3 linked regions of the Drosophila melanogaster genome follow. The protein of the gene in region 1 purifies or fractionates together with the protein of each later gene. This does not show direct contact. Each region holds a gene or a part of one and is shown on either strand. Other genes may lie near its edges.

Region 1 (4,321 bases):
CCGAAACGGCGGAGTCCAAGTCACACGATTCGTTGCCCATTACCAGATGTAATTTCCGGCCGGAAACGTCGGGAGCAGCAGCCCAGGCAACTGGTGAGGCCTCCGCCAGATGCTGCGCGAGAAGAGAAACCCTATTAGTGCTTGACCTTCTCACTTCTGGTGCTCTTTCAGAATTCTCACCCGTCCCAAGGTGCCCCTGGCCTGGGCCAAAAATCGTAGAAAGCACATTTGTTAGGGAAATCTCGGAAAAGCTGGGAAAACAAACGGCTGATAGCTTCCATATATTTCAACAGTTGCGCGTATCGATTCGATGTGACATTTATCGATTGATCAGCGCGAAACTGAAATAAATAAATTACAAAGATAATGCTTTAATGTATATAAATACATATATAATGCATTTGTTTGTAACGCAGTAATGTAATCTGTGGTCGCTCGTTTACTAAGCTTAATCACATTAATTGGGTTTATTCCACATTCTGTGCTTTCAGCTGATCCCATTTAGCTGATAAGGCAGCGCATCCATTTTGGTTTGACTTCTGCTGTATATGTGATGTATAAGCACTTGTATTTATATTGAATTCCTGGTATTAGTTTAGACATTTAAATTTGAACTAATTTCTATCACTTTTTGGCGGTGAAAAACTACACCTGCCCATCACTGCGCCAGCTGATTGCAGTTTGCTGTTATCGATAGCGATAAGCAGATTCAAGCTGTCTGGCGCCAGCTGATCCTAAATCCTTTGTTTTTATTCTTGACTCCCAGATTTTCAATACAACCGCGGCCGCAGCCCAACATTTACCCCGCTCTTGGAGCGCAGCACTATTTTAATGGATGGCTCCACATCGGCTCCCATTGGAAGCAGCTGGTAGTGGCGTATCACTTTGGTCACCATGGTTTTCATCTCCAGCAGAGCAAACTTTTGACCAATGCAGTTCCTCGGCCCAGCGGAGAAAGGTATGTAGCTGTAGGGACTCAGTCTGGGTGCCTCTTCTCCTAGATGCCTCTCCGGCTGGAAGACCAGTGGATCGGTGAAGATCGCTTCATCCCGGAGGAGCTGCCAGAGAAGTACGACCACGTTGGTTCCCACAGGGATGTAGCCCTCATCTGGTGTAGATTGACGTAGATTGACTTAGGTGAGTCTTAAATTCTCAGACCTTACACTCACCTATAACCAAATCCTTTTCCAGGCAGCGTGCGACGGCCGGAATAGGCGGATAAAGACGCAGGGACTCTTTGACCACGCAGCTTAGATACGGTAACGTCGCGAAATCCGAGAGAATAACGCCTCTGAATAAATCCTGGCCGTAGTGCATCCTCAGTTCCTCAAAAAGCTTTTGTTGCACTGCCTCATGGCGGGAAAGCAGATACAAACAGAAGGAAACCGCTGAAGTCGTCGTATCGTGACCCTCAAAGATGAAAGTGTTCACTTCATCGCGAATTTGCTTGTCAGTCAATGGTTGCCCATCCACAGTTGCCCGCAGGAGCGTGTCCAGCAGGGCGTGGGGCTTTGTTGGCTTATCTTGATTAGCCTCCCTGGCCAGTAAACGGCGTCGCTGCTCTATAATTCCGTTGGTAAACTCATGGAGGCAGATGACTCCTGCCTGTTGCTTTCTGAATCCGCTGGGCCAGCACAGGCGAAAGAGGTGGGGAAAGAGGAGATGCGGCCTCATGAACCTGGTGGCCAAGATGTTGGTTAGACTAAAGAAAGATAAACGGTAAGAAAAAATGTCAGTTAGAACATATTACAACCTACTCTTTTACAGCGTGCACCACCTCAGAGTCAGCTCCTTGAGCGTCCACGTTCACGCCCATAGCAGTTTCGGTGATTATGTCTAGGGCAGCCAAGCCCACCAAGGGATAGATGTTCACGACCTCGTTGCCGTACGACAGCGTTCTCAAACGCTCCACTAATATGCTGCTCTGCCTATCGAAGACCTCGACAAACTGCTCCAGGATGCTAAAGTGAAACGTGGGCGTGATGATTTTGCGCATCGTGTGCCACTCCTTTCCACGACTCAGCAGCAGTCCATCGCCCAGCCAACCGCGTAAGGCAAAGTACATCGTGCCCTTCTTCAACTGATGCTGACCCTGCAGCAGTGCATCGATATGTCGGGGCTCCGCTGTAACCATAACCACATGGCCTAAGACAGTGCCCATGAAACTGCGACCAAAACGCTTAACATACTCGGCGAACTTATCATGCAAGTCTGGAATTTAATAGAGTAAATATCAAATATTGAAGAGTTCAAACGGGAACTTACTGTCTGGCTGAAAACTCCGCATCTGCCAGGCGGCTCCTAGTAGAGGAACTCTCGAAACACTTGGCACAACGCCTTGCAAAGGATGTCGAAGCTCCTTTAGCGCCAAACGGAACAGCGAGGCCACTAGGCGAGTCACCAGGAGGGCCACCAACAAAACCACCAACATGTTGAAGCTTTGCTGCGTATCTTAAGGAGCACTTGGGCTCTCGAGTAGCTGGCAATCTTATCTGGAGCACTACAAATGTGTCGCCTATCTATATACAGGCACTTCGGATTTATTGCTCGTAGCTAAACTTTATATAAGCAAAACCTTTCGAATAGTGCACCACTTCGAAAGAGAAACAGTGCGGGACCACTAAGGTGAGCAGGACGGAAAATCCGAGGAAAACAACTAGCCAGCTGTTTTTCAGCAAGAACAGCTGATGGAATCAACCAAAACACAAAACATATGTACCTATGGTCATTCATATGCACATGTATGTATTGTTGAGAGTATTAAGATAATTACCCAACAGACAAAATAGTTAATTAAATACTTGTATACACGTTTATTCTATGCAAATAGAGCTGGATAGACCCACAAGAATGAATTCCTTAGGCGCGCGGTTTCAGGCCAAGATGAACGCCGTTGGCCGACCGCAGGACGATGTTCATCGAGTGGCGGGGCTCAGGACCCAAGGGCAGCAGCTCGAAGTGCCGGAGCAGCTTGCTGACGGTGCTCTTCATTTCCAGCATGGCAAACTTCTGGCCGATACAGTTTCTTGGTCCAGCGGAGAAAGGAATGTACGCATACGGATGAATCTGCGGGACATCCGCATCGAATCTTTCAGGTCGGAACTCATCGGGAGACTCGAAGTACTCAGGATCACGAAGAAGAACAAAGATGCCCATCGTAAAGTTGGTGCCTGCTGGAATATGCTTGCCACCTGACAAGAGCAATATGTTTACCTGAGATTGAAGAATCTCATATGGAACTTCTTACGTATTTCCACATCCTCGGCGAACCAGCGACCGATCATGGGCACTGGCGGGTGCAGGCGCAGCGACTCCTTAATTACGTTCTCCATAAACTTCAGCTCACCAAGATCACGAAGGGTAACTGGGCTCTTTCGATCCTCGCCGAGGACGTCGCGGATCTCCTGCTGCAGACGCTGTTGGACCTCCGGATGCCTTGAGATTTCATATAAACAGAATGAAATCGCCGAGGTAGTCGTGTCATGGCCCTCGAACATAAACGTGTCAACCTCTTCGCGGATATCCTCATCGCTCAACGGGGCGCCATCGATTGTGGACTGCAGCAGCACATCCAGCAGAGCCATCCGTCGCTTTTGGCCCAAGAAATTAACTTCCTCTTCTGGGGTTGTTTCCTTCGAGTTGTTAACCAGCGTTTCACGCCGCTCACGGATAATGTTCTCGGTAAAGTCGTGCATTACCTTGATAGCTTTGTCCTGGCGTTTAGCTTCTGTTGGCTGCGTTAGCCGGAAAATCCAGTCCACCCGCTGCCAAGCGTGGATAAAACGTTTAATCAAGATGTTGGTGACACTGTCACAAGGAAGAATTCATCAGAACTGTGGGGATTCGACCTATCATTACACTCACTCATTGACAGCCTGGACATAGGGCAGATTGGGATTTTTTTGGGCATTGATTTTTGTGCCCATTGCAGTTTCTAAACGGCGAGTATTAAGCTGTTATAAATATTTATAAGACTAATGGCAAACTCACCTGCGATTATATCCAGGGCAGTGAGACAAATCACCGGAAAGATGTTAATGGGAGTCATGCCGTCGGCGCGCGACTGAAGCTGCTCCACCATTACGGCGCTTTGTTGGTCGAATATCTCGACGAACTGTTCCAAAATCTTGAAGTGGAAGGTGGGCGTGATGATCTTTCTGCGTCCATGCCACTTCCTGCCCGTGCTCATCAGCAATCCATCGCCCAGCCAGCAGTTAAGTAGCTTGTACAGATTATTCTTGGTTATATGCTGCTGGCTGCTCAAGACGAACTCAATGTCTCGGGGATCCGTGGAGAAGACGGCCAACTGGTGGAGAATCCA
Region 2 (8,009 bases), on another chromosome or scaffold:
GCGTGTTGGGTCTTTGCGCTTCTTCGTAGAAGGGAACTGGCTCCGCGGTCTGCAGCGCTGGTGGCAACTTATCGCCGCTACCCAAGGGGAATATGTAAAAGTCGCGTATCTGATCCGAGTCCACGCCCAGGACGCCCAGACGCTGACGCGAGTCCAGGTATTCGAAGAAGAGATCAAACTTATACGTTTCGCTGGGCGAGGCGGGGAATATGTTCACAATGACCACTTCCTTTGTGGGACTCTTCTTTAGCTTCTTGATATATTCCCAGACATTAACGCGGGTTATGCGACCGATTACGTCCATCTGACTTGGCATCAGGTTACCCAATTGATGGCAGTTACCCTGCACGGGGTACATGACGATTTCGAAGTCGGCCAAATCGATCATCTTGAGAGTACCGGACCACAGTGAACTCGTCGTCAGGCCGTGCAAGTAGCGGGAGTAGTTGTCCATTGGCTCAGGTGCCTTCAAAGAACTCGGAAGCGTTGGAAGTGGCTTGGGTGACGGCTTTGGTTTGCCTAGATTCGCCGCCTGCTCGACTGTTTTCTCCGATTCCAGAATTTGATCAACCAAGTTGTAAGCACTCGCCTCGGTTTTCTTTTCCGCCGTCTTTTTGGGTACCGGCGATTGGTCGTTTTCGTCCCTCTTCTTGGGCAAGGGTGATGGAACGATCTCATCCCTTTCCCGGCTCTGTTTCTCACGCGATCTATGCTCACGCTCCCCGCTGCCTGGCTGCTCTCCTCCTTCGTTGTGCTGCCTGCGATGGCGCTTATCGACGCTTCGACCCCGACTATTGGAACGACTTCGACTGCGCTTTCGATGATGATGCTTGTGGCTCTTGTGTCGCTTTTCCTTCGATGAACCCGCCTTTTCCCTGGACGTGGAACGTTCCAGTGTGGAGGTAGACGGCTCACTGACCAGCGACGTCTGTTTTGTGTCCGCCATAGATGATGCTTCACTAACGTTCTCTTCGGGCAGCGTAACATCCACTTTGGTGGCGATTACCTCCTCTCCCTTGTGTGTTTTCACCACATAGTTTTGGGCACATGCCAACAAGTCCAGCTCCGATTTCTTGATCATATCCAACTGGTGACGGTTTTCCTCCTCCCGCCACTTGGCCAACTCTTGGCTGGCCAGCTGTTCCGGCGTCATCCGCACCAACTGCCTGGGCTCCACTTGCTTGGCACAAATCTTTTCGAAAAGCGTTCGGTTCTTGCGATCCTTTATGTTGAACATAAGCGATCGATACTTGGCCTTGTACTTGGCTCCCACGTCTCGGCCAAACGAGTTGAACATTTCCAGCTCCACGTTCTTGACAAACTGATCCACCTCAAGTACGGTCGGCCACTGAGTCGTTGGCTGGCCAGAGTTCTCCTCGGCAGCCTGAGCTTCTTTGATTCGCGCTAGTAGTTGCTCCCTGAGTGATCGCCGGATGCCGATTCGAACCGGCTCGGGTTTGCCCGCTGCGATACGATTAGGGGTTGGCGCCTGTACTGTAGGTGTTGTCTTCTCTTTATCCTTTTTGGCCAAAGGACGCACGGAAGAGATTCCAAGTTGGTGGCTTGCCTGAACTGTGGTGTTTTGGGGATGGGACAATTTGGCAGGACCTTCAGGTGGCTTTTTTGCAACTCCTAGCACGGCGGGTTCTGAAGTTGAGGTGGCGGCTTCCGGTGCCCCTTTCAGCAAACGCTTCTCTGCGTCGGCTGACTGAACGGTTCCTGAGGGCAGCACCTCGAAGGAGGGATTCTCCTGAAGCCATTTCCGAAACTGATGTGCAGAAGGGGCCATGTGCCCGGTGATAACCCGACCACTTTTACGCTCAAACACATTAATCTGCAAAGCAAAGTGTGCACATTATTTGTTGTATAGTTCTAATTAAATTAACCTTTATTGCATACCCGTTCCACTTTTGACACAGTGTCCGCTTGCCTCAGCACGTCCTCAAACAAGTCCTTCTTCTTGTTCTTTTTGGCATCGAAGGAGTTGTTCAGCAAAGACTGAGCACCGGCATTCTGTGGCAATGGGCCTTTGGTAGCAGCATGTGCTTGAATTGCACTTTGGGCATACTTCCGGATGCACTCTTCGCCACAATAGACGGAAGAGGTGCTCGCCGGTCGCTTGCAGACCACACATAACGTCTCCGAAATTCGTTTGCCAGGTGATGGGCCCAGTCTGATAAAGTTCAGCTGCTGCTGCTGCTGGTGAGAGATTGCACCGGTTGGGAACTTTTTGGCCGGCTTTGCCATTGGAATACGCATGGGGGAACTGGCTACAGTTAAGACCACCGGTAGTGTTCTTCTGGGAGCCGAAGGAGCCGCGACCTGAACAATTTCTGCTGTCGTAGTTAGTACTTTGGTTTCACTCGGCCTCTGCTCAGGTTGAGTGGTTGGTCTGGTGACCAACATGTCTGTTATTCGTGGTTGGCTCTACAAAGATAACGAATCAATAAAAGGTAACTTTATGTCTATTGTATGACTTTACCCTCTCCTCCTGCCTTTTAACGCATTTGGGGCACTTCCAGTCGATGCCCTTGTTTTCCATATCTGTGCCCATCGCCTTGGTCACCCCCACGCATGTGCCGTGGAACCAATCCTCGCACAAATCGCAGCAGATCATGAAACGATTGTTGTGTGGCTGACGACAAATGCACCAGAGCCTAAACCAAAAAAAAAAAAAAAAAAACAAAAAAGGTTTTCAACAAACGCACAGATTTGCATCTATGAAATATCCAACTATAATCTTACTTGTTGGGGTCATCGTCATCCTCCTGAGACTCTGAAGCGTCGGGATCATTGTTCTGACTTGCATCAAGCTTCTTTGATCTTCTGGGTGCCGTTGAACGTCTGGCCATCGATGGCTCTCTAGGATTGGGTCGTTTCGGCCCACTTCCCGGCTGGCTGTCATTGCTCAGGCTGCTGGTATTGAGCGGCTGATTGATGCTCGCATCCAACGAAGATTCACCAAACGACAGGTTGCCTGCATCACTGGAACTGGTCGCAGCCATGCCCGGAGCTGAAGGAAACTGTGCTCGTCGCTTGGCCCGCGTGGTGGGGGCTTCAATGGGAGGCAGGTATATGACCCGACCGTAGCCGCGCACAACCTTCGCGGAGGTGGGCGGAGTGCTTGCTGCCACGCTCCTCGAGGGTGTACTGCAGGCAATCGGCAATGAGGTCATCGATTGTGCGGGCTCCGTAAGACTTGCATTCGGCAGTAGGTTCGTGTGTGCCTGTAAAGGAGCAATGCAGTTAGCTAGCAAAATCAATAACCAGGATATTCTACACTTGCCTGTACTTGCGGCACGTCTACGGGCTCAATGGACGTAGGCATAGATACGATGGCGTCCAGGGTTCCGGGCTCTGTACTAGCCAATACTTGCTTAACCACCTCGGCCTCAAACTGTTTGTCCTCCTCGATGAGACCGACCACGTGCTGGAGAAAATCAGCTGTAATCTCATCCTCATTCGCCGTATCCATTATATTATTCGGATCGGCTGCAGCTGCATTTCCCACTCCCTGCATCTCGGGAGCTGGAAAAATATTCGTAGGCAAGGACACTGGTGGCGGATCTAGATCCGCCGCTGTACTCTCCAGCATCTTAACCAGTTTCGGTATATCCTCGTCCGCATTTACTACCGGCTGCTCCACAAGCGTGGACTTAAGTAGCTCGTCCTGCACAATCGAGTTGATCAGATCGAGCTGCTTGTCATTTTCTGCTGCCAGCTCGGAGGAACTCTGGTGCGTCTCGATTACTATTTGGGCGGGCAGTTTATGCGACTGAGCTGTGTCCACGCCGATGGGCATGAAGCCCTTGGATGGGGTATGTGCCTGAGCAGGAACCGGAACCACAATTGGCGACATCTGCTGATTGTAGCTCGATCTCGGCGTGCTTGGCGACATGACGGCCCGGTGTCGGAGTGGAACTGGCGAAGATTTTGTGGCTGCATTGTTGTCCTCACCCAGCAAAGTGTTGAGATTGGTAAACACTCCTTTGGGACTGGCCATATTCTTGTTGATAATAATCTCTTTAACTTCCTGCGGCGAGTTTACGATCCTTCCCAATTGCACGGCAGGCATACGACGAACATTGGAATTGGCCGGTGTCGTTGGCAGTGGAGGTCTCTTCACAGGCAGCGATTGATGTGTGGGCCGGATTTTGAGAAACGATGTGCTTGGAAGACCTCTGCCTAGGGCAAACACTGCGGGCACTGATTTTGTGGCAGGCATCTGGATTATTTGCCCAATTTGCGGCGCCTTCGGCTCCAAAACTTCCTTGCGTTTCTTCAGCTCGGGGAAGTGCTGCGGCGTTGTGGGTGGCGGAGGCAGCGGCTTCATTGGTTTGCTGGGAGTCTGCCTAACCACCTTTCTAACCCGCTTCCTCTTATTCGGATTACGTCTATTGCTATGCCTCATATCGAAGTCCATGTCACTGTCCCTGTCGTTGTCCGATTCCTGGAACTCATCGCTCTCCTCACTCATTTCCTCCGAATCATAGGCCTTGTCGGCATTTTCCTCTTCGGCGGAATCCGAGCTTTGGGCGTCATCATCATCTTCGATGTATTCCTGCACAGGCGGAGCAATCACTTTGACTGGAGCACGAGTGGGCCTCAGCCTGGCATTGACCGAATTGTTCGCGATAATCTCTGGCTTCTGTCTTGGCAGTGGCGAATGGATGGGCTTGCGGATCAGCTGCACTTTCGGTTGCAGCTGCGCTGCCTGCTGAACTTGGTGGGGCTTGACTGGCAGTCTCTGGACCTTGACCTGCACCGGGCTTAAGGGTATGGCCTGGACTCGTTTTTTGGCATTGATTAGCTTGACACTGCCCGGTGCCTGCATTATGATTTTGCGGCTTTGGGCCTGCATTTCCATGGCCATCTTCTCATCGCGCTTGTGGTTCTTCAGCTGCTCTGGCGAGGTAAACGGTGTGTAGTTGTGGTCATTTCGAATAACTTCCATAAGAGCGTCTGTCTCCGCAGTCCTTTTGTAGACGGAAACTCCGGCAAGCTCTGTAAATAGAATACAAATTAGTTGAAAGCTAAAGTTCGTTTACTTTCGTTGTGCTCGAAATAATGATGTTGTTTTGCTTTATCATTTGGACCACATCGATGTACGTTATTTACTCAGTGCATTTTTCACAACCATATCAGCCGTGTTGTCCGCATAAAACTGCTCCACTCGCAAACCCACAATTTGTGGACGCTCCTTGGGTTTGCGTCGCTTTCGCTTTTTGATGGCCTTGGGCTTTCGGCCAACTCGCTTGCGTGTGCGCGGGGCATCGGCTTCCGTCTCCGTGGAGTCGCTATTGTTGTCGTCACCGGTGTTATGGTTCTCCTCGTCGTGTTCATCCATCTCACTGGCATTATCGCCACCACTTTGGCTGCCATTGTCACTGTCCAGCTCCGAGTCGGTGGCAGTTTCCATAAAGTTCGCCAGCTCCTCCAGCCGTTCGTCTTCCTCTTGGTCCACCATGCTCGGCGTGGGCGATGTAATCCGCACCACGCTAATGGTGGAAATCGATTTTTCCTCTGCAACAAGCCCATGTCAGTGTGGGGAGCAATGAGCGTGTGTCAGGCCTATTGGACCCACTTACCCATGATGTTCCCAATCGCACGCTCGTCGAAGGAGATTCCGCTCTTGCTGTAGACCACAACCAGATTGGAGTCGGCTTCGGCTGCCGCCGGCCGGGCGCTGGGCGCCTCCGTAAACACCGAACTGGACATGACGCCAACTGCTCGTGATCCCCGCTAGCGGCGCATTGGAGTCGGCGGCCCACACAGCGTGTACTTAATTAGCTTGGAACAGAACAACGACTCATTTGTTGTTGCATCCGCCGCGTTGTGACGCCGACATTGAAATTGGATAGTAGGTGGAAAACGGTCACTGGGCTGCGTTCGCCCTATACTTAATACTGGTGATGCTCTGCTGGCTGCGCCCACAAGCTGGCTGTTATATTGTTGAGATTCGAGAGCTTAATCCGTTGCTGTTTCGCTTTAAAATGCAAATTTTTCTCAATTATGAAAATAAAATTTGCAAAAAAAGCCACTTCCAGTGTGACCAGACTTGGGAATGATGCCGATGCTGTAGGTTATCGATAGTTTCTGTGCCTCGCTCTGCGGAACTAGTTTCAATTGCTAGCTCATTTGAACAAAATGTTAATCTGTGTTTATTTAGGGAAATCCTTTATTTTCAAGGTCGGCTGCCAAAAAGGAAAACCGTATGATAAATAAATGAATTGAGCTAATTAAAAATATTAAAGAATATATTTAAAAAAATAAAATTCCCGATCGATGAATTGTAATTTAAGCTTGTTTTTTTTCGCGTTCAGTTCTCGGTCATACTTTTGCGAAAACAGAAAACAAAAAACACTGATAAAACCCACATAATTTACTGCCTTTGTTAGCCCGGTTATTGGCTATTATCAGCTAATCTCACTTGCTCGAGCACTCATTGTTGTCCAGAGCGCCAGTTAAACTTTGTCCTCCGTCGCAACACCATGGCCGCCTTTCAGATGGGATCGGGTTACGCAGTGCCCATGACCCTCTTCCGGAACAACAGGGATCGTGCTGGCAAGGCCATCCTTAAGGAGCTGCTGCCGGGCCTCAAGTTCAACGACGGCAACCTGCTGGTGCTCCTCGAGGGCGGCAAGGACCAGAGCCTGTACAACACCGACGTGGACTACGTTTTCCGGCAGGAGTCCTATTTCCAGTACTTGTTCGGTGTCAAGGAGCCGGGCTGCTACGGCATCCTAACCATTGATGTGAAAACTGGTGCACAGAAAAGTGTTCTCTTTGTTCCTCGCTTTCCCGATGAGTACGGCACCTGGATGGGCGAACTGCTTGGGCTGCAGGAGTTCAAGGCCATGTACGAGGTGGACGAGGTGTTTTATGTTGACGAAATGAGTGTTTATCTGGAGGGGGCGTCGCCCAAGCTGATACTCACATTGAGTGGCACCAACAGCGATAGCGGGCTCACCCTTCAGCCGCCCGACTTTGCTGGCAAGGAGAAGTATGTGACTGACTGCAATCTGCTGTATCCAATTCTCTCTGAGTGCCGAGTGATCAAGTCACCCGAAGAGATCGAGGTGCTGCGCTACGTGGCCAAGGTATCCTCGGACGCGCACATCAAGGTGATGCGGTTTATGCGTCCCGGTAGAATGGAATTTGAGGGCGAATCCCTGTTCCTGCACCACGCCTACTCCGTGGGCGGCTGCCGGCATGCCTCCTACACCTGCATATGCGGCAGCGGAACGAACTCGTCGATCTTGCACTATGGACACGCGGGCGCACCCAACAGCAAGCCCGTCCAGGATGGTGATCTCTGCCTGTTCGATATGGGAGCCAACTATTGTGGCTATGCGGCCGACATAACCTGCACATTCCCGGCCAATGGAAAGTTCACCGACGACCAGAAGTTCATCTACAATGCCGTGCTGGATGCCCGCAATGCGGTCACAGAGTCAGCCCGTGACGGAGTCTCCTGGGTGGACATGCACAAGCTGGCGGGCAGGGTGTTGCTGCAGCGCCTGAAGGAGGGCGGCATGCTCAAGGGCGATGTGGAGGAGATGCTCGAGGCAGGTGTTTCGGGCGTGTTCCAGCCACATGGCCTGGGCCACTTGATCGGTCTGGATGTGCACGACGTGGGCGGCTATCTGCCCAAGGAGCCCAAGCGCCCCAGTGAACCGTGGCTGAGCAAGCTGCGCTTTGCCCGCATCCTTAAGGCCGGCATGTATGTCACAATCGAACCCGGCTGCTACTTCATCAACTGGCTGATGGACCGCGCTCTGGCCGATCCGAACATTGCTAAATTCATTAACGCAGAGATGTTCAATCGCTTCCGGAATTTCGGAGGTGTGCGCATCGAGGACGATGTGCTCATCACGAAGACTGGCGTGGAGAACTTTGCGATTGTGCCGCGAACGGTGGAGGACATCGAGGCAACCATGACCTGTAAATATGATTCGCCGGTTTAGAGCTTTTAAACTATATTCCACGCGTAAACATATGTAATATAA
Region 3 (5,603 bases), on another chromosome or scaffold:
TAAACAATCTGATTTATAAACGCCCCCACAACACAGTAAACACATACATGTATGTACACACCTGTTAGGAATCTGCCAAAGAAAACCAGAAACACGGCGGGCTCTAAAATAAGCGAGCGGGGTCGTTTTAGCCAGCTAGAGAATGTCCTATTGCTGGGTGGCGGCGACCGCACTTCGATGTCCAGCGGTTCATCATCAGCGCCAATAATTGGCTCCTCATCATCTCTCGGCATTTTGTGGTTCAGTAAAGGTCGCGGTGATCGCAGCAATTATCGTGTAGACAAAGGAATTAACGATTCATTCAGCCAAGCAATATATCGTAGCGGGAACTGAGTTAAACATCTGTGCGCGCCGAACTCGAGTGATAGACTAACTGGAGGGAGCAGCTGAAATAGACGACGTAAACAAACAAAGCAAGCGATTGCCAATTTGAGCAAACCAAAGCGTTTGCTGCGCCCTATCTGCGCACGAACGCTCGAGCGGCTCCCTCTCGAGAAACCTCACATCGCGACACACAATTCCCATTCGATTTATGCTCAAAGATATTGAATGCTCGATGTATTCACACTTTATTGTCACACTGCAAACAGTTAAATCTTTTGTTCTTAACTTTACAATGCTTGCACATGCAAAACACAGTCCAAATAGCAGATATAGTATATATATACATATACACTGATCAAAATCATAATAATACTTGCAAAAATATACAAGGAGTACAAACACTAGATTAATTTACACAAATAGTTTCTAATCTTTTAAAACGAGAGCTCTTCGCAGCGCCTGCAGAAGGAATTTAACTTATGAGATACATTCAGCTAAATCGGTGCTCTGGAGAGTTTGTTAGCTGCCAATGGCCTGGTAGACACTGCTACTACCCATCGACTTCTGGATGCCGAAGATCACGCTGTATTGAAAAGTATTCGCTTTAAACTGGACTTGAACTGTGCTTGGTAGGACTTACGCTATCAGAATGTAACACACAAAGTAGAGAGCGGCGCTAATAAAGTTGAAAGCTCCGGGATAATTTTCCAAAGTTGCCTTGTAGACGGTTGTGTACAGAGGTGCAGCGCCCAGTGGCGAAACCGATTCCATGGAGGTGGTCAGAGCAAAGATCTTGCCTAAATTATTTCATATGGTTTTAGTTAATGGTATTTGCAGGCTAAACACTTTGGGTACGTACCAACTTCAGTCGCGGGTGCAACGTGCGAGAGAATCGCGCGGCACATAGGTCCCATGACGCCACGCATCATACCCAGCGTCATGCCCAGATACAGCTCTTGCCAGTAGACTGCTGTGGCTCGAACCGTGCTCTCCAGAACACAGCAAGCCAGGGAGAGCATTGCCATGGTTACGATAGACATCTTTAGAACGCGGCGCAATACCAACATGCCAACGATGCTGCCCACAATCTGGATCACGATGCGGGATGCGTTGAATAGACTGAAGTCCTTAATGGTCCAGTTGAATTTATCCTGCACGAACATGTAATTTACAGTGCTCTCTCCCTCTGAAATCATTATAAATTAACTCATATAATCTTAAGTTTGAATTATGTTACCCATGTCGAAAATGGCTATCGTAAGGGCAATCATTGTAAGCCAGATGATTGTGCGATCAAAGTTGGGGCGCCTCTTAAAGCAGGTGCGAATCAGGTCCGTGACCAAATCGAAACGGAAGAACTCACGGACTCGCGACTAAAAATGAGGGAAGGAGTGTTGAGATATTCGTTTCTTCTTAGCTATAGAAATTACTTACTCCGGTGTGAATGTCACCTGGATTTAGGCTTTCAGGTACAAACAGAAGCACGTACATCAAGGCAAACATCATCAGGCTACCAGCAATGGAAAACAACACCAGAGCATTTGTGGCAGCATAGATATAACCGCTGGCCACATTGCCCACCATTATGCCAGCACAGAGGGAGGCTTCATTGAGGACCATTCTTTCAAATAATATATCAAAATGAAATGGCATTCTTTGGATTAATAAATCAAGACTACCCATACTCACCTCAGAGCCTTCTTTCGCTCCTTGGCCACATCGGATATGTAGCAATAGATTCCAGTAATCAAGGCGCAAGTTCCGCCGCTTACGACGGAAGGAACCGAGGAAAGGAGGAACCACCATGGACTTATATTCGTGGACCTCGTTATGTAAGTGATTACTATCAGTATGAGTGCGCCAGTGAGGTAGCCTTTAAATACAATAAGAGTCATTTGTACAAGATGCAATTAAGATGTCCTGACTGATGATTATATACCCGTAAAAGTTGTCAGCAGGATTGGCCGCCTTCCGAACTTGTCGGACCAGGGACCCAGGAACAGACTCGCGAAGGCAGGAATAATGCTCTCTAGCAGAGAGGTTGTCATCATAATATTTGCAGAATACGTCTGTACTATCACCTCGACTTCCTGAAAAAACAGAAGTTCACTTTAGTAAACTGCACAACTGTACAACTGTGGATGAGTCAATGTGCCATATCTCGTACGTATAATTATAATTTTAACGCTTTCCTAGTAAATACTTCGATACTGCTTCGAAATGCAGTAACAAAGGATTTTGCTTACTTCTATTCCGGCCGTTGATAAGCCTCGACTGGCGTTCTAATTACCTTATCTCTAGCCTCCAAACAATGGCAGTTTTGCATTAGGTTGAGACGATTTGCTAATTTGATTTTACTTTGTCACGTCGGATGCTGATATAGTAAGATATACTAAGTAGGTCACGTCTTGGAAGAATATCGGCGAGCCAAATGCGAAATACATTGTTCTATACAGCAAAGGTCATAATAGTAGCAATTACTCGTAAAACAAGTTAATATTGTGATACATTAATTGTGGTTTTAAAATTGTTCAGCAGTTTTTGTAACTTAAACTTCAGTTTTTGTTTACAGTTACTGGATAAATTTGTTTAAAATTGCCATTTTCCTCATCGCCATAAAATCACAACACGAAACGCCCAGCAAAGCAGCAAAAATAATTTGCACAGAGATAAAAACCAGGCAACGAGAACAGAAACTACACAAAGTACAGATATCAAATTGTACATGATGTGTATACTATAAGGGTCAAATTAAATACTTACTTTATCCGCGTCCGATCCGCGATCAATGCCCAGCAGCGGTTCACATTGCGTGGCATTGAATTTCTCGATGGTGATGCAGGTTTGGTAGAGAATTTGGTTCTGATAAACCGCCCCTAAAACGCACACAAAGTTAATTCAATGATGCAATCCAATCGGTTTTACTGCCCTATAGCCATTATACCAATTAAATTTCTGGCGAAGAAGATTAAAAAAACTGCGGGCTCCAGGATGAACCAGCGATAGCTGCTGTAGTCATGAGGCGGCGGTACCGGAGGCGGGTCCACCTGCTCACTGCTGGCCGCAGATGATGCGTCCAGTATGCGTGGTGCCGAATCTTCGCCAGTCTCCACATCGGCCACCAAAGCCTCCGTATCAGAGCGAGGCATACTGCCGTTCCGTTCCGTTCCTACTTGCTCGCTATCGAGAACGGAACTCGTGGATGCGTCTGGCTTACACCAGTCTACCGGAGATAATGGAATTTACAATTCATTCACCAGAACGCTGCGCAGTTCCCTGAAAGTCTTCCAAACGCGACGGAGAGTTTTCAGATACTAAAGCTTCAGCTGCTTTACTGCTGATTAACGTGGATTTATTGTTGCTTAAATCCCTGGTACGTGTATTATTTTCACAAGTACAGCTGGCTGGATTCTCCCGCAGTTAACGTTACTCTATTCGAAACTTTCTAAATGCAAGCAGCAACAGCTGATTGACTTCTTCTTCTTCTGTGTTATTGTTTTGATTTCGATTTTCGATTCTTAGTGCTAGGGATGCCAACTTGCGGCGAATTGAGAGTTTGTGGTTTAAATTTTCTGACACTTTTTACTGGTTAATTAATTCAATTTATTTATAATTTTAGTAGCGTCGTCGGTCACGCTCTCCTCGCGAGTCCCGTTCCCGCTGGTCGTGACGGCCACGGTCACGTTCTCGCTCTCGTTCCCTATCCCGGCGATCTCTGTCGCCGTCCCTCTCGCGCTCCCTGATACTGTCGCGATCTTGGCGCTCTCGTTCGCGATCGTGGCGTCCATTGTTTTGCCGACGGTCATAGTCCTCGTTGTGGGTGTCCCGATTGCGCACCCTATTTCGCTGGCGGTCGTAGTCTTCCAGTTCGTCGTAGTAATCCCGGGAACGGGCGCTGTTGCCCTGCCCAGATCTTCGCTCGCGCTCCCGACTGCGGGACCTTGACTTGGAGCGAACTCTCCGTGGTCGTCTCACTGCTGTCGAATTCTCCTTAGGCCGGTTGGTCTCGTCTGCCTTCTCCTCGTCGCTGGGCAGTTCGTCGTCCAAGTCCTCATCCAGCACTGACACCTTGGGCTCGATTTCGTTGTTTTCCTCGAGAATGGAGCGCTTCTGGATGCGGGGCAGTATAATGTCGCAGACACGGTCGTTGCGCAGCAGTTCGTCAATGTACTCATCCATGTAGACAATCTCGAACTGGCCGGCGCGATTCTGGCGGCGCAGCTTTCGATTGTCTATGTACAACGGCTCCAGGTACTTGTAGCAGTCCAGGGCAGCTCCTGTGAGCCGTAGATAGAAGGCTCCCAATGCTCGAACGTACTTGAACTCCTCGTTCTTGATAAACTCCACTACGATGTCCTTTTCCGGCTGAATCTGCAGCATCTTGAGTGTGAGGCAGAGGAACTGGGTGGGCTTGATGTTGCCGCCGTAGACGCCTCCGACGAATCGCAGCTCCATTGCCTTGTCCACCAGAAGCTCCGCAGTGAGAGCAAAGCATTGCTCCTTCCAGTACTTAGAGTCGTATATCCTCGAACGGATGATCTTCTCGATGAGGTACTGCGGATTGGTGCCGTGCACGTTTTTGGCCTCCTTCACCGTGCGGTTGGCCATTTTCAGTTGAACCCTTGTTCCTTGTCAATCGTAACTCAAATAGGACTTTTCAATCCAGAAATTCGGGTATCTATTGGCAGCAGTGCAAAATGTGAAAATGCACCGAATATATTTATTTATTTTTCGGCGTTTGCTAACCAGAGTGGCCAGCTGCGTAAGGGAGAAATATGCCACTCCGCCAAGCGCATACACAAAGGCGATAACGATAGGGGACGGCAATCGGTATCGGGTGACGCATACGAACAACAGCTCCCAGACAACCAAGAAACGCAATAGCAGAAAAAAACTCACTTGTTCGCTAAATTCGGGTGAAAAAACAGATCAGCCAGGATGAGTTTCTTCGGGAAGATGTTCGGCGGCAAGAAGGAAGTGGCCCCCACCACCGGCGAGGCGATACAGAAGCTGCGCGAGACGGAGAACATGCTTATCAAAAAGCAGGAGTTCCTGGAGGCCAAGATCGAGGACGAACTGAATATAGCCCGCAAGAATGCGTCTAAAAACAAAAGAGGTATGAGAGGAGTGCGCCGAGGTCCTTGGCTTCCTAGTTGGTCACTCAAATGGGCCAAGGGGAAATGACTCATTGCTTTGTTTTTGTTGCGGCCGCGAGGCCTGCTCCCAGTTAATCAGTATCCCATACTGCCAGCAAATAGAAAACTCAATAAACAATATGT

The links.
Region 2: the proteins of Cyp4ae1 (region 1) and pps purify together in Drosophila melanogaster (affinity purification with mass spectrometry, with the first as the bait; one large-scale study listed by BioGRID). This does not show direct contact.
Region 3: the proteins of Cyp4ae1 (region 1) and CG30344 purify together in Drosophila melanogaster (affinity purification with mass spectrometry, with the first as the bait; one large-scale study listed by BioGRID). This does not show direct contact.

What each region holds. Positions count from the first base shown.
Region 1 is NC_004354.4:2,177,207-2,181,527, reverse strand, and holds Cyp4ae1 (cytochrome P450 4ae1), read right to left. Parts: upstream 2,522-4,321; 5' UTR 2,432-2,521; coding exon 2,266-2,431; exon of another isoform or gene 2,212-2,265; coding exon 1,758-2,211; intron 1,720-1,757; exon of another isoform or gene 1,703-1,719; coding exon 1,170-1,702; intron 1,138-1,169; exon of another isoform or gene 1,109-1,137; coding exon 771-1,108; 3' UTR 530-770; downstream 1-529. Other genes in the region: pn (prune), read right to left, coding at 1-112, 181-228; Cyp4d2 (cytochrome P450 4d2), read right to left, coding at 2,860-3,191, 3,248-3,807, 3,865-3,934, 3,991-4,321. UniProt on the Drosophila melanogaster protein: May be involved in the metabolism of insect hormones and in the breakdown of synthetic insecticides.
Region 2 is NT_033777.3:12,411,866-12,419,874, reverse strand, and holds the start of pps (protein partner of snf), read right to left. Parts: upstream 6,048-8,009; 5' UTR 5,719-6,047; coding exon 5,589-5,718; intron 5,524-5,588; coding exon 5,119-5,523; intron 5,005-5,118; coding exon 3,287-5,004; intron 3,228-3,286; coding exon 2,746-3,227; intron 2,658-2,745; coding exon 2,483-2,657; intron 2,428-2,482; coding exon 1,900-2,427; intron 1,835-1,899; coding exon 1-1,834. Other genes in the region: Dip-C (dipeptidase C), read left to right, coding at 6,492-7,967.
Region 3 is NT_033778.4:9,143,457-9,149,059, reverse strand, and holds CG30344 (uncharacterized protein), read right to left. Parts: upstream 3,801-5,603; 5' UTR 3,474-3,800; coding exon 3,269-3,473; intron 3,201-3,268; coding exon 3,088-3,200; intron 2,415-3,087; coding exon 2,264-2,414; intron 2,198-2,263; coding exon 2,014-2,197; intron 1,946-2,013; coding exon 1,759-1,945; intron 1,698-1,758; coding exon 1,562-1,697; intron 1,511-1,561; coding exon 1,184-1,510; intron 1,122-1,183; coding exon 965-1,121; intron 908-964; coding exon 844-907; 3' UTR 548-843; downstream 1-547. Other genes in the region: CG30345 (uncharacterized protein), read right to left, coding at 62-233; Prp38 (pre-mRNA processing factor 38), read right to left, coding at 3,940-4,932; shrb (shrub), read left to right, coding at 5,263-5,440.